2 linked regions of the Drosophila melanogaster genome follow. The protein of the gene in region 1 interacts with the protein of each later gene in a pairwise test. Each region holds a gene or a part of one and is shown in the gene's direction. Other genes may lie near its edges.

Region 1 (7,737 bases):
GCCTATCGAGCAGAGACAACGGCAACAGAGACTCCGTCTACCAGACTTCTAAGGCGAATTTAGAGGAGACGTCATGGGCAGCTTGGCCATATAACCACAGCCAAGCCAACGACGTGCGATAAGATAACAGATGCCCAGACCCAGGGACTCAAGCTGCTCTCAATATCCATACCCAAAGTACCTGGACATGGCATGTAAATCGAAGAACATGGCTCAGATCGCAAATAGTGGCCAAAATAGCTAAACAGTTATAGGGATATTTCCAAAAACTAGCTATTATTAAATTTATATTTTATTCTTATTTTATTAAAAGGTATTTTTGGAAGCAATATAATTAAATGTCAAAATTCTAATTATTATATTTTAAAATAAATATTTTTGAGAAATATTAATATGTATTTATTTATTAATATGTATTGATTAAAGGTAATCGACTGGAAGAAAAATAATCCAGATGGTCATCACTGGCCGCCAAACTCGAACCTGTCCTGTAGAATTGCACATGTTTATCTATTAATTTATGCTGGCGGTTTTTGGGTTCCTCGTTTGGCAATCTCAGTGGAATCGCACTTGCGCCCGGATAGTCTGCTTCCTGGGAATTACTGTGCAACGGAGTGATCTGCATCTGGATCGGAGTCCTCACAGGCACAGCAGTCGCCCTGCCACAGGGACAAATGCTTGATAAGAACGCTAATTAAGTTAAATGCCAACTGTGTGTGGTTTCTACACTGAAAAAAATATGTTGTAAACTGTATAGCATTATACTGACATGCTGAAATTTCATGCATGCTTATAGTTTTTATGTTAGTTGTTTAACAATTAGTATTTCATTTAACGTATTTAATTTCTATGCAAAACTATTACAAATAACTTTCTTCCTTAATAAATGAATTTGTTTTCAGTATTGCGGTGATTCCAGGTAAGTGATCAGAAATTGGCGTGGTTTGCTTCCCTTTGATTTATGTCCTGCCATTGGACATCGGTCGGTAGGAGGGGGCCACACCTACTATCTTATCTGTCGGGTGAACACTTTCGCTGTTTGTTTGTTTGGGTGTTGTTGCCACACATCTGCCACTTCGTGTCGAGCGTGCATGTGTGTGCTGGTTTCCACTTGAGGATCTCGACGTGCTCCTTAATTGTTTACCAGTTGTTTACTACATGGATCCTTTCCCTCCCGCAAATCTCAAGAACGCATAAATATGTGTATTTTGAAATCGCTTCTATGGACTATAGGCTGAAAGGTACCTTTTTGTGGCCAAAAAAGTCCGTAATATTAAGTTTTGATTACGTCATTATGTTATTATAAGATTAGACTTTAGTGTTGCGTACCAGAAATTTAAAAAAAAAAAAAATCCCGCACGGTTAACATAATCGACGGCAGGGAATATTAAATTATTAATCGAGAAATCCCCTGAGAAAGCCAAAATTTCATTAATAAATCAGCATGTCGCGGAGAAAATGTCTGCCAACGACGTGCATTTCCCTTATTTTAGATCAAAATGTAACAAAGAACAATATATTAGGGAGTTAACAAAAAATAAACATTTTTTCCTCGTGCTGCAAATAAAAAGAAAGATTGCCGATTAAATAATTCTTTAGTGTCTGGCACGAAAGCAGAGGTGCCTTTACAAAGTTTGCTTAACCAAAGTTTGCTTAACTTTGCAAGAAGAAGGCCTATTAAGAGTACAAATCAAAAATTGATCCCAAAAATGTCTTTTTACTTAAAAGATATGTATTTATTTTGGTAACAAAATTAAATATAAGGGGCGGACCACGCCCACAATTTTTGGTATCGTAAAGATATAGCCTAGTGTTACCCAATAAAAAAAAAAACAGAAACTAAATATCTCTCTCCGTTTTGTCAAAAAGGTACAATTCAGCCTTTAGTGGCTTTGGCGCCTCAAACGTTTTTCAAATCGAAGAGAAAATTTCGAGAGCGAAACAGAAACAAAGTGGAATCGAAACAGTGAGAGTGAAGAGAAGCAATTGGCTTAAAGAGAATGCTTATGCTCTTTTTCGTACTGAATTTTAGCTTGGCTCTTTCTAAACGTTCTAGTTGTATATTTACCGTATTGTATTTCTGAGAAATTTTCCTATTTTTTTAAAATTTTTTCTGGGTATTTGGACAAAATCGAATCAAATCCAAGTCGTAAAATTCTCGCCAATTCGATTACCGGAACATGCCCGCAGAAAAAAATTCTATATCATTATCTAATGATGAATTACAGAATAATCATATTAGTACGCCGAAGTAGTAAAGCTATTAATTTATTATAAATATTCCTAAGGATCCATAATGAAAGATGTTAATATATTTAATATTGTTTACTTATAAACGGGGAATACAATATTTCTAAAACTTTTTACGCAAAATCGATTGAATATTGGTTACTTTTGATTCCGTACAATAACATACTTGTTAATAAACAAATTTAGTGACTACAATTACTACGTTCACTCCTTTCTCCTGCCAAAAAACATTTTATTGATGCAGAAGTCTACCTGCTCATTAATGCATCGCCCTGTGTCCTAAAAATGTTAGTATTTTATGTTGGGTACCTGCCCATGTTTTTTGCGTTTCAGTTATTAAGTCAACTAATGATGCACCTGATAATGATAATGAGGTAAAAGGAAACCCTTGTTCGCTAATCCTCCAAAAGTGGGGTTTTTCGAATTTCTAGTTAAATTTCTAGGTAAGATCATAGATCTCCTTATTGCGCATTGAATGCAAATGCAGAGAGGACGAGAGAGAGCAGCTGCGGAGAGCACGATGCACACAGGTAAACATATTTGAATATATGGCCCACACTAGAGCAAATATAACGGCATCGCTTCGTTTGCGGCTTCGATTGGTGCAAGTGTACGAGTTCGGCACGTGAGGCAATTCTACATAAACAAGGCGAAACCTGTTTAGCCGAGTGCCGCGATTGGTCGACGCATATACCTGAATGAACATGCATACTCTCGGCGGAACGCCCGAGAGAGCGTTCTCTTTTGGCAGCTTCGTGTAATGAGCCGAGTGCCGAGTGCAGGGGCAGTATAAAAAGGCCGCACCACCGCCAAACTCGCTCAGTTATTCCCAGACTCTAACCGATTCACATAACCATCTCTCCCAACGCAATATACCCGAAATATAACCGATATTCAATCGCTTTGCTTAACGGAACACGCGTTTGGTATTTGTGCATCGATCGAGTATTTGTGCCTGTGTGAACATGACACACTGAAAACAAAGTGACGAAAATTAAGAACATTTTACAACAATTCCGGTAAACTATCAATAAAAAGCCAGTAAAATGCATACCGTGGAAGACATGTTGGTGGAGAAAAACTACAGCAAGTGCCCGCTAAAAAAGCGCCCAGTTAATTACCAGTTCGAGGCGCCTCAAAATCACAGTAACACCCCAAATGAGCCGCAGGATTTGTGCGTAAAGAAAATGGAAATTCTGGAGGAAAATCCCTCCGAGGAACTGATCAACGTCAGCGATTGTTGCGAGGACGAGGGTGTGGATGTAGATCATACAGATGATGAACACATCGAGGAGGAGGACGAGGACGTCGATGTGGATGTGGACTCGGACCCAAATCAGACCCAGGCTGCGGCTTTAGCTGCTGCCGCAGCTGTGGCCGCCGCTGCAGCCGCCTCCGTGGTTGTGCCCACGCCCACATACCCGAAATATCCCTGGAACAACTTCCACATGTCGCCCTACACCGCCGAGTTCTACAGGACCATCAATCAGCAGGGTCATCAGATTTTGCCGCTGCGTGGCGATCTCATTGCGCCCAGTTCGCCGAGTGACTCGCTGGGCTCCCTGTCGCCGCCACCACATCATTACCTTCATGGTCGCGCAAGCTCCGTTTCCCCGCCCATGAGATCTGAAATCATCCATAGACCAATCGGCGTGCGGCAGCACCGTTTCCTGCCCTATCCACAGATGCCCGGTTATCCGAGCTTGGGCGGCTATACCCATACCCATCATCACCATGCGCCTATCTCGCCGGCTTATTCCGAGAATTCCTACTACTCCATGCGATCGATGACGCCTGAATCCAGCTGCAGCTCCTCGCTGCCCGAGGATCTATCCCTGAAACACAAGAACCTGAACTTGAATCTAAACACTAGCCAGCCGGGAGAGCAAGCAGCAGCCAAAACCGGGGATATGTCGCCCGAAACTATGCCGAATGCCTCCGCCAAGAAGGACAAGAACCAGCCGCCGCGTTACCAGTGCCCGGATTGCCAGAAATCTTACTCCACCTTCTCCGGGCTGACCAAACATCAGCAGTTCCATTGCCCGGCCGCCGAGGGTAATCAGGTGAAGAAGTCCTTCAGCTGCAAGGATTGTGACAAGACCTATGTTTCGTTGGGTGCCCTCAAGATGCACATTCGCACCCACACGTTGCCCTGCAAGTGCAATCTGTGCGGCAAGGCCTTCTCGCGACCATGGCTGCTGCAAGGACACATTCGCACTCATACGGGAGAGAAGCCCTTCAGTTGCCAGCATTGCCACCGGGCCTTTGCAGATCGCTCGAATCTGCGAGCACATCTGCAGACCCACTCGGACATCAAGAAGTACTCCTGCACCAGTTGCTCGAAGACCTTCTCGCGGATGTCCCTCCTAACCAAGCATTCAGAGGGCGGATGTCCTGGCGGCAGTGCAGGATCCTCCAGCAGCAGCGAACTCAACTACGCCGGCTATGCCGAGCCGTAAGGCAATATATTTATATATACATTATATAGCTGAGATCCCAGCCATGTTCCACCAAAAATTAGTTCCTAGCTCTCTTAGGCGGCTCCAAGTTCCCGAAACTCCCAGTGCAGACACACAACTTCAAGCAGAATTTCACTTGTTTTTTAATTTCTAGTCAGCATTTTCTCCCAGAAGAGAGAAAATTAAAAATTACGTTTTAATTTGTACAATCCGGCAACATTTTTGTAACCACCACCACCAATTTGAATAGTTTGAACCATTTTAAAATGTGTGCCCATAATATATCCTAAAGATGAACTTTGTAAAGTATTCTTCGATTTATCCTGTACATAATGTATTATGTCTAACTGTAGACTCTAAGCTGAACAAATGAAACGCCAGACAATCAATCGTAAGCAAGACATACATCTCTATATTTTATACGATAGTATTTTTAGCCTAGCTGTAAAAACCGTAAACTATTTTTGATATGACCACTACTTTTTCGCGTACACATTGAAAATGTTCTACTGTAGCTTAAGTGAAGATAAGCAAACAACACATACATATATTTTGATACGAAAATGTTTTGTAATTCTAAGTAATTTATTGCATCAAGCGAAGAAAGAAGGAAATACATTTTATTTACATACAAAAAAAAAACATTGAAAACGTTTTTATTTCATTAATGGGTGGGCTTTGGGACCTTTTTATTTCAGGATAATATGCAAGTCGTTCTACACAAACTTAGAAAAAATCTTTTATTTTTCTATATACGGTAATTATGTTAACAATACCATACATATATTTGAAACAGTCTTAATTTGATACTCCTATATGCCAAAACATTGTTAATTTAATCATATTTAAGCATGGTATTTTCATATCAACTTCAGTGGTTAAATCTTTATAACATTTCTGGTCAGCTAATGTAATATTTGACATATTTAAATGTACATATATACAACCTTTAAATATTTATCTGTTGAATGCTTAGACCACATTTTCTATTGTCCACATTCAATTAAAAGTCAATTCCTATTTCCGGCAGAAGGTTCAATGGAATCTAGAATGATCGTGAGTGGTCTCTTCCAGAGTTCGCCACATATTTGGTTTTATTGGGTCATGTTCTTCTTCTTCGAACAAATAAACAAATCGAATTGAGTGGATCGGAAAATAAGAGCCGACCCAATCCAGCCATTCGCGACATTTTATGGCCCGCCCAGTGAAGCAAACGTAAGGCGCATTTTCTTTGGCAGACTGATCATAAATTACATATGTATATGTATGTATTTAAATTTCGGTGCACGTACGACGCGAGCACAAAATGGCAGTCACTAAATCAAACTTCAAGCCTCAGTAGACCCGCGCCCCGGCCAAAAAGTCGTATTAGACATGAGACGCGATCTTAATGAGAGAGCAGTGAAAATAGTGTCTTGGCCCGGAGATCATCAAGTGTGATCGATGCCTACCAGTATCCAGCCAAGCGGAAAAGCGCAGGGAAATCATAATCGTACGGTAAGGTATCGTTCGGGTGACAGAGCATACGAAATTATGGGTGCGTCCTCTGAAGCCAAACGAAATGAAACGAAACGAAACGAAACTCATTATCGAGATCAATCGATCGCCAGGCGGAGGAGAGCCTGCTCCAGAGGCCCACAAATAGCGCACACATGTGTGTGGGGATCGGGATCGGGATTGGCATGGGTTTGGGGATGGGGATCCGCCGATCCAGTCGATCCGCGATCATCGGCATCAGCGATCGACGACCACGACAATTGTTGCCAAATTAGATCATCAGGCAGCTAGAAAAGCAGCAAAACCCAAACGGCAACGGCAGCAACAAGTCTTAGTCAAGTTTCACGTGGCTACACTGAGCGAAAAGGGTAGGAATAAATACATTTTTAACTTGCTAATCTCTTCATCATTAATGCAAAGCCATTCGAACTTACCTAAATAGACATAGTTAATGGAAGGCAGATCTGTTTTAAACTTTATTACTACATTTTTCAAACATTGTGGAAATGTAAGTTTAGCTTTTTTCAGTGCATAGAGGGATCCAAGCCCAATCGGATGGATCGGGCCAACGTAAATATACGAAAATTAATATGCACGCATTTCGTGGCTCCACTTCCTCCACGGCGGCTTGCTTCAGTCTCGGGTTACCCAGCCTGCAGATCCACAGGGTCCAAGTTGCCGGTCTCTCCAGCGCCCTCAGCACCAGAGTAAGCCCCAAAAAGCGCAGCTCGTCGATCGGAGCTCTGCTCCCAAAACGACGATCGTTCGTGCCAGCTAGCTGGCTAAACAATTTGCAAACGATTTCTAATAAGCGTCTTAAATTGTAACAAAATAGACGCGCATTTAGGGCCTTTTGTGTGCCTTCGCCTGGCTTCGTCTGGCTTTCGATAACAAAGATCGAGAGCGAATAAAAAATAGAAAAATGAAATAAAAAATGGCCCAAAACATGGACAGCAACAAAACGGCAGGCTAACTGCCTCGCTTGACCCTCTCCCTACCCAAAAATGAAAAATATATATAGATATATAAAAAAGCAGCCCATTGGGTTTTTATTTCTGATTATTTTATTTTATTTGTGCCAAATTTCGCGCTTGATCGCTGCATTTTGGGCTGCTTTTTTGTTTTTGTTTTTTTTTACTAGCTATTCGACTGTGGGTAGCGGGTCCAGTTGGGGTTACTATGATGAAGATCTTTGGGTTAGGCCGTCGACAATTTGACTGATTTTGGGGACCCTGGCTTTTGGTGACTTATTTATGGCAAATGAATATTGTGCCTTCGGTTTGTTTGTGGGAAAATTTCCGATAGATGAATCTGGTTGGGTTCAATGAACTGCGTTCGAAGGATTTTGGTAAGTTTTCAAGATTTTGTTACCTTTTTCGGGGAATTTTGGGAATTACATAGGTATTTATCTCGTAATTTTATAGCTGGATTATGTACTATAGGAATATGGCACACATAGAATTAGTGTTTTCAAAAGTTGTGTTACCTAGAATTTTATGGTATATTAAATCGTTGATAAGTATAAGCGTAT
Region 2 (8,998 bases), 6.8 Mb from region 1:
CTCAGTAATTGCTTGCATCCAGTTTGCTACCTTTTTTATGCAGAGGAATCATAAAGGACTCCTTCCATATATGAGGGAACTGTGAAGATTCCGGAGATAAGGTAAACAGTTTCAGTAGAGGTTTGCACAAGGCTTCCGCACAGAATCTGAGCACACAGGCAGGGATTCCATCAGGACCTGGCGAATAGACCGGTTTAACACGCTGAAGATCGTTAAGCAGTGAGCTTTCGTTTATAATGGGGCAAAATATTAGATTCGACTTAGATACCGCATAAGAGTATGGCTGTTCGGAATGAGGTAAAGTTGAATATGTTGTTTGAAAAAACTTGGCGAATAGGGCTATTGCCTGATCCGATGTAACCGTAGTGTTTTCTAAAAATAACGAGGAAGGGTAAGAACTTGTTTTTCGCTTAGTGCTAACGAAATTATAAAACTGTTTCGGATCCTGTGCAAACTGGAACTTACAACGGTTTAAATAATTATTGTAGCACTGATCATTAAGCCCGGTAAAGCTTAACCTAGCGCTTAAATATTTACAGAGGGTGGACTGAGAACCGGTATTTTTAAATTTTATATAGAGTCTGGACTTTACAATTCTTAGGTGTGTCAACTCTTTATTAAACCAAGGAGGTTTAAGGAGTTTAAGTCGTGCGTATTGGGTTGGCACGACAAAAGGTCATAACTTTACACTTGGAGCCATTTAAGTCTAACACGTGTGTTGTTGCCCTCGATGATTTTCTTCTATTCCTCAACTTCACTGAATTATTTCATCCTCACTTCGTTTCCACGAAACTCTACCAAAACAACAACTGGCGCCATGCTCATTTGAATACATACACAAAGGATTTTTACTCAATAACGGAACGATTTCCATGAATTTCATTACTCTTAACTCATTCTTAACATAACGGTTCAAAAACATAATTTCGGTTACATTCAAATACTGCGTTAGATCTACTCAATCTCCGACATACATATGTATATTAAGCCGATATAAAACACATGCGGTTTGAACACAGAATAAAAGCGGGAAAGATATATATCTTAATGTAAACACATAATTAATTTCTAATTTCTTTTACATCACAAGCAGCTAAACAGATATACATATATTTCATTTAAGTTCTATTACCACCAAATTATTTTTAAATAAGAGAGAACGCTTAAGCAAATTTGTTGGACATTGAGATACCGTTTACACAGCCAGAAGGAATGCAAAATATAAACAATGAAAACAAAAAGTTTTGGGTGTTGAATTGGTCGTGGCGAAATAGTTCAAGCATATCAATACAAATTATCAAGAAAAACAACTTAATTTTTTAAGATAAAGAACTTTTCAAAAGTATACGAACAGAAGGATTGGTAGCCGAAGACAAGAATATAAGCACGTTATAATGCCCGAAACGCTTCCTTCCGTTCCTTCTGACATAATTTTTTCCAAAACCATACACATAATCGTTCGAAATCACTACCATAAAACTTGTCTTTTCATTCCTCAAAAATAGCTAATAAATAAGCTTACTATCTCAAGACATTCCCTTAAATGCTGTTGTCATAAAAAACATTTGACCACGTTGGTTGCCTTGCCAACACTAATAAATTTTTGAATTTGGGCGCCGAGAGTATTTAAATCTTTTGGAAGCTGAAATTTTCCAACACCAAACAGGACTCGCAGAACTTTGTTCATCCAGGATCTTAAGCTCAAAACCAAAACGTATGCGAATTAAAATTGCTGCTATTTAATTATTTAAAAGAATAGTTTTTATTTTTTATTAATTAATATTTATTCGGCGACAGACTTCCTCACTTATACTATTACAAGACACTTTATTACTAGCTTATCTTTGATTTGAAGCTGTTCACGATCTCGTCCCGACTCAGACTGATCTTCTAAATCTTAATCCTAATCCACTCAACCTCGGCCAGAAGCTTTTCTTTAGGATTCTCTTAAGCTTTTTAATATGTTTAGGATAAAAGCTTTACACTGAAATTATTTCCCAGCATTGTGAAATTCAAATTTGCTGACTGACGCAGTTTGACTGAAGCGCAATAAGTTGACCATGGCTTGGTCTCCAAGTGGAAGTTGTGTTTACTTTAAGTTTGGTTATATATCGGGTGGCTAAGTGTTGGCGTCAAAAACAAGGGCAAAGGCAACGCTGCTGAGATTGGAGTTAGAAATTTGTTTAGCTTTTGGTAGAGTGCTATATTTATGGGTTGGATAACTTGCGTCACTACGTGGGGCATAAAAAATCTGTTGTCCCTTAACTCACTCCCCTACATCGAGTGATAAAGATAAATAGGAATTCCTAAAAGATTTAAGTATACAAAAATAAGTACGTTTTATATGGAATCTTTAAGAATTAGTTAAAAGTCGAGTGCCTGTAAAATTTCGTTATCTTATGGAATTTGTTATCAACCATGGCCCATGATCTTACCAAAGACACTAGAATATTCTAGTGTCTTTGCTCTTACAGTGTTACCTTAGCTTGTAGAATATTAAAAGTTAAGTCTCAATAAATTTAAAACGTGTTTTTAACGCAGCTCAGCACAAGATATTTCTTTTCGAAAGCTAGTAACAGCCAGATTCTACTGATCGTAGCGTTTGCCTTTTGAGTAAGAGACAACATGTAAGACAACATGTGATGTAATCCAAATTACGAAGTACAAAACGTATATAAAAATATTTATGTTTTCTGAGTTATCGAATTAGTGTAAAAGGGCTCTAAGAAATCCTACCAGTTCTTTGTGAATTTTGGTATATTTTCGAGGGAAATGATTATTTTCATGAGTCGTGAAACGGTCACACTTTTAAAAAGTAAAACTGCTGCTCGTCTGCTCTATCTCTGAGCGTTGTTCTGTCTCCATCTCTCTTTAGCAATCGTAAAAAATGATGGACTGAAAGTTAAAGTGCTGGAATTTGTTAGAAAAAGATAACACTATTTAAATATATATCTTGTATTATTCCAAACAATATATCGTTAAAATACGTTATCAATTCACGAATACAATTTTACACCACTCAAATCTTAACAATTTTATTGTGGAGCAGGCAGTGCGCAATTTATGGTGTGGTCCGGTTGCGTAAAAGGTAATTTTAATAATGAAAAAAATAACACATGTAGTGTAATATTGTATGATAAAAAAACAAATGTGCTAGACTCCAGTTTAGATACTAGAGTCTGTTAATGTAAAGAGCTGCTGCATTAAACGTTCGTCTGTGTATGTTTTGTGTCGCGTATGTACATATTTTTTGTCTCACCGTCGCCATTTTTAATCAGTCGTTTTCGCTGGGTTCCTATGGCACTATATTCATCTCTTTTTCTCTTTTATAGAATTAGCGTCGCGTGATGCAGTGTTGAAAAGCGCGACAGAGCTGCAGTAAATAAAAGGCCAACGTATGATAAAAGTTAATTTTTGAGCATACTCGAATTTTGGGGACCATGGAAGACCTTACCAAAAACATTATCTTCACAAATGCCATTAATGGGCAACCGGCCACAATTCAATACCAGACGGCGGATGGCACCATTCTTAAACAGCCCAAAATAGAGGGCCAAAAAACGGAGCAGCAGCCTACCTTCTATTACACGACAAATGTAAGTAGTTTACTTACTATATGTTATTGGTGCTGACTTTTCATATTGTCTTCACATAGGGCAATGGCGGTACCGTCAATCTCGCACAGCTGGCCACCACAGACGACAATAAGACGTGTTATATAGCCCAGCCCGTGGGCGGATACAATTACGCCCTGGTCAACGGAATGCCTCTCAATCAGGGTGCAGCTCTTGGCATCGCCACGGTAGACGCACAAGGCCGCATCCAGATTGTCAATCAAAATAAGCCAATTGCAGCTGTATGTAAAAGGAAGACTCGTTAAGCAAAGCCTAAAGATTTTCTTCTTTGCAGAACACCATATCCAACATAAGCTTTAAGTGTGACGTATGTTCAGATATGTTCCCTCATTTGGCACTTCTTAATGCTCATAAGCGGATGCATACAGACGGGGAACAGCAGCAACAACAGCAACATAACGCCCAAGCGGGCGGCGATTCTATTGCCGTGGTCAGCGCGCAGGGGCTTGTGCAGGCACAGAACATTATTGGAAATGGTCAGATGGGCCAGATACAGATTGTGTCTTCTGACACGCTGGAGCCGGTTCAGCAATCTGTAATGCAGCAGCAGCAACATGAGTCAAAGGCAAGCAAGTGCATAAATTGTGGAAGCTCTATGCTGCAGCAGTCCAAACGCAAAGGTCCAAAGCAGGTGCGCTGCGAGTCCTGCATGCAGGCTGAACAAACAGCGCAACAACAACAGCAGCTCTTCGTCGCCCAAGACGGTAGTTGTGAAAGATTACATTCTAAATGGACCATAACTAACTTCATCGCATCTTTTGCAGGTCAAATGGCGCATCCCGTGCAAATCATATCAACGACTCCTCAGGCCCAAGCACAACTTCAGCAAATTGTGGCTGCACAGACTGGCGGTACAACGCCAAAGCGAGAGGCGAGCAGTGGGTCTGGCCATCATCCTGTGAAAAAACGAAATTCCCAGCAGATGACCAAATGCCAGAAATGCAATGGCTCCGGCGTGGTGCTAGTGGGGCAGCACTCCCATGCTTCACACAGCGGGGTGGGCGGATCGGTAAAGCAATCAGTTACTGTTAAAACTGAGTGAGTATAACATGAAATTGCAACCTTATCCTACGCTAACAAAACCAAGGTGTTTGTCCTGCAGAAATCCGTCCAAACCCTTCAGTTGTAATATATGTGGTGGTCTGTTTTCACGTTACTCAAGTCTGTGGTCCCATAAAAAGCTGCACAGCGGTGAAAAAAACTACAAGTGCAGCATCTGTGGATTGGCCTTTGCTAAAGCCGTATATTTGAAAAACCACGCGCGCATTCATACAGGCGAGAAACCCTATAAGTAATACCAATCTTCTACTTGAAATTATACTCTTTATACTAATTACCGTTATCTTTACATAGATGCCAAACCTGCGGCATGCAGTTTTCACAGTCACCACACCTCAAGAACCATGAACGCACGCACAGTGGCGAGCGGCCCTATGTGTGCGGTGTTTGCGACAAAGGATTTGCGCGCCACGCTACTCTTTGGAATCATAGGCGCATTCACACGGGCGAAAAGCCATACAAGTGTGAAATTTGTGGATCGGCCTTTTCTCAGGCGGCGCACCTTAAGAACCACGCAAAGGTGCACTCCGGAGAAAAACCCTACAAGTGCGAGATTTGCTCTGCAGCATTCGCTGATCGTTTTGCACTCAAGCGTCACCGCGGCATACACCAAAAGTACGGCCAAACTGCTCCTCGCCAGACCAGCAGCGATGGGATGATAGTGCATAAGCAGGAGATTCCTGACATGGAGGATGAGGCCCAACAGGAAGTGATTATCGGTGGGTTATAGATAGTTTAAATGCAGAGGTGACAGGCAGCTTAATGAAGTCACAGACACTGGAGTCCACCCTGCTTAGCTTCAGTTTATCGAGCGTTACTATGATCATCTGCCTCCACCTATGCTAGCCCCAGAACCATCTCTAAGGGCGCATATATCACCACAATGATATTAAAGAATAGAAAACGATGTTCCATCGTTAACACTTCAGCTGCATATGTCCTTTCTCCACTTTCATGTGGGATCTTCAAAAATGGGCGAAACCCAAAAACGCTTTTTACGATAAGCATACAAATGAACCTAATTTATTTGATAGCTTGTATAATATACTTAAACATCTTTAAACATTAAACGCATATATGTATAGGCATCGTATTTATAAGTGTTATAGGCTATTCTCTTATACAAATTGTAGGTGTAAAATATGGATTTATTAGGTGACGATACGAGCAAATCCGATACGTATGAATATGCACAGGTAATAAACACACACATATAAGTTGAAAGTTGTAAGCTTAAATATATTTTAATTAAATCTATCTAATATAAGTATGTATTAAATAATGCATAAAATCAAATAAATATTTGAATAAAATACAATTTTTTACTAACCTACTCCATTTGCAAGTGCCTTAACGAAGAATAGAGGGATCCCAGAAATAGGCACATTTTCCACCGTTTTCGACGTCTTATGCGTTTTTTTTTTATTAATGTAAGCACCATTTCACTTTAAATATAATTTTTTTAGTGTTTTGCCACGTTCATCTTATTCTTACGTGAAGCTATAAGGTCAGTAAATTTTAATGTTGGCAATAATATAATTAATAAATACACAAAACTTTAAATATTCATAGACGTAAAAGAGTAAAATAAAGTTAAAATTTATCGAAAATTAGATGATGTGAATTACTGCTGTCTTTTCAAAAAAATTAGAGCTGTTGATTTGTAAAATGGACGCACTCTTTTAAACTTCTTATATTTATATTTTTGCGTATTATCTGTTAAAAATAAAATATTTTTACATATTTAAAGTAAAGTTGTGAAGTGGCAACGAATTTTTTACAATAATCAAAACCAAGTGTTTAAGAATTAGGATTCATGGCTTGTATAATAAAGCTTTAAATTACTAGAATTCGCCATCAGTTAAATCAAGATAAATACGTATACGTATACATTTGCGAACATGGACTTTGCTTAGGGTCCATTTTTGAATTTGCGGTCATTACAAACTTATATTCATATGTATATAGGATTATTCAAGAATGAATACATTTTAGTTACACGGGATTGTAGTTTTGTTTCTTTTAATGTCAACTGGTTTGCATGCACTATGCAATCATGATTATATAGGAAGATCTGTGTCTGTGGTTGGTCCACTTTTTATTTAATATTTCTGCTACAGCTTAAAAACTAAATCGTTACAAAGTTACGGAAAGGATGCGTACCACAATCCATATTTATCCGGCCAATTAAATTTGACCATGGTCTTTGCCGCTTGGTAGAGTCCTTTTATTCGTGCCAATTATTTTTCCAATTTGATATCAAATTATTTTAAAGCTGTGGATAAACAATATAAGCAACATCTAAAATAGATGTTATATATATGTTCAAAATATAACAAAGCATTTCAAACTCATTTTTAAGCTAAATTGAAAGTCACACAAAACAATATATATACTTTTCACTGTTAAATTTCCGTATTTTCTTTTTTAAATTTTTTTTCTTGAAAACATAAATATTTTAGATTAACTCGTTCCTCAAGCTTAAATTTTATGGTGCAGGCACGCCATTAAACAAGTAAGTAATTATACGATTTTATAGTAACATTTTCATTTAAATGACTATGCTATTGGCTTATATTTGTCATTTTGGTGAACCGATCTTGGCTATTTAGTATTTAGTTTTTAGTTAAACAACAATTTCATTTTTCGACTGCCTACCATGCCAACCGTCCTTTGCAAGTGTGTTACAGCTTCCCACTCCACTCACCCACTAAATTCAGAAGAATTAAAAGTCCTGGCCTAAGCCCTATCCTGCTGTTATGCAATATTGGACAATAATCAAGTTAACCAAACCATTCGAGTGCTACTTAATGTATTGCAGTATGTAACCGAAATCTCCTGTCCAGAATGGCGGTTTTTATGCGATTAAAAACAATAACAAAAAAGCAATTTCAACAGTTACCTACATAAATGATGACTTCTCGGCATAAATAATTTGGGCTTCATAACATAAATACTTTTATTACAAATAATTTAGGTAATTTTCTTAAGCCTGTCTGTCGACTTAATGCTTTGGGTAACACTTTTTTTTGTCAAACTCGCATAAGCGTGCTTTCGTGAAAACCCATTCATTAGCAAAATGGTTGCCAAATAAAAATGAAAAACCGGTTAAAAAGGCAGACATACTATTGCGTCTATTCGTTCAAGGTTGTAGGATAGTTTGTTGCTATTTTAAAGTAACCTTTTACATATTTTGAAAAAAATGCAGTCCTGAAGTAGTTATTTTAGGGAATATTGGTTTTAGACGAGGTTCTTAGGATTCATTTGTTCGTAACTTTTCTTTAAAAGATCTGGATAATTTCAGCAAAATGTATTTGGTTCACAGTCCTCTTAATCAAATACTTATTATTCAAACAAACTTTCAATTCCATTTGTAAATTACTTTTCGAGCTAGAACTTGCTCTTTTGATGTTTTTACTAACTATAAAAGAAATTCATTTTTTAATTTGCTCATCACTTTTTAATGACACTAACACAAAACAAGAGAGAATGCTATAGTCAACTTAACAGACTATCAGATACCCGTTACTCAACTAGTGCAAATGCGAACGCGAGAATTCAATAATAATTTTTCTGGGATATCGATAGATATTGGTGAAGAAAATGAGAAAAAATTTTTTAATTGTTCAAAAGCGTTGCAGTTTTGGGAAACTTTTGGCGTTAGAGTGACCGTGACAAAATGTTTTTTGGCAAATCGATAGAAATCTTTCAGAATAATTAAAATATTAAAATATATCAACACGTTTTTTAAAAGTGTGGGAGTGGCACTTTTGGGCGGTTAGTGGGCATTAGAGTGGGCGTGGCAACATGGGCCAACAAACTTGCGCTGCGTCTGTCTCTCTAGAATCTGAATGCTTAGTCTCAACCTTCTAGCTTTTATAGTTCCTAAATCGACGTTCATAAGGATAGACAGACGGACAGGGCCAGATCGACGCGGATTATGATCCTGATCAAGAATATATATACTTTATATGGTCGGAAACTCTTCCTTCTGCCTGTTACATACTTTTCAACGTATCTTGTATAACCTTTTACTCTACGAGTAACGGGTATTTATAATAACTCTTTGAATAATTTTTGGGATTTATAGTGGAATAAAATAAACGAATTTAGCCAGATTTTAGGTTGAAAATATGATCAATTTCATAATTGAAATTTGAATAATGCTTCCTTACATGCGGGTACTTTCTATGGGACACCCCAAGGGGTCGTTGAAATGGCCGGAATGAAAAGAGTGACCGTTGCCAGCGTTTGCTCTCCGAAGCTCATTGTTTTGATTTTTGTAAGCTCTTAATCAACTTTCC

The links. The genes of interacting proteins can lie anywhere in the genome.
Region 2: the proteins of esg (region 1) and Clamp interact in a two-hybrid assay, tested with the Drosophila melanogaster proteins (one large-scale study listed by BioGRID).

What each region holds. Positions count from the first base shown.
Region 1 is NT_033779.5:15,330,798-15,338,534, forward strand, and holds esg (escargot), read left to right. Parts: upstream 1-3,068; 5' UTR 3,069-3,296; coding exon 3,297-4,709; 3' UTR 4,710-5,341; downstream 5,342-7,737. UniProt on the Drosophila melanogaster protein: Transcription factor that can both stimulate and repress transcription. Binds to the consensus DNA sequence 5'-A/GCAGGTG-3'.
Region 2 is NT_033779.5:22,162,978-22,171,975, reverse strand, and holds Clamp (Chromatin-linked adaptor for MSL proteins), read left to right. Parts: upstream 1-2,832; 5' UTR 2,833-3,088; intron 3,089-3,332; 5' UTR 3,333-3,440; coding exon 3,441-3,596; intron 3,597-3,655; coding exon 3,656-3,856; intron 3,857-3,909; coding exon 3,910-4,339; intron 4,340-4,399; coding exon 4,400-4,673; intron 4,674-4,722; coding exon 4,723-4,926; intron 4,927-4,988; coding exon 4,989-5,424; 3' UTR 5,425-6,256; downstream 6,257-8,998. Other genes in the region: CG42748 (uncharacterized protein), read right to left, coding at 8,989-8,998. UniProt on the Drosophila melanogaster protein: Transcription factor involved in X-chromosome dosage compensation in males, the process by which transcription of the single X chromosome in the male is elevated. Binds to the DNA sequence (GA)n.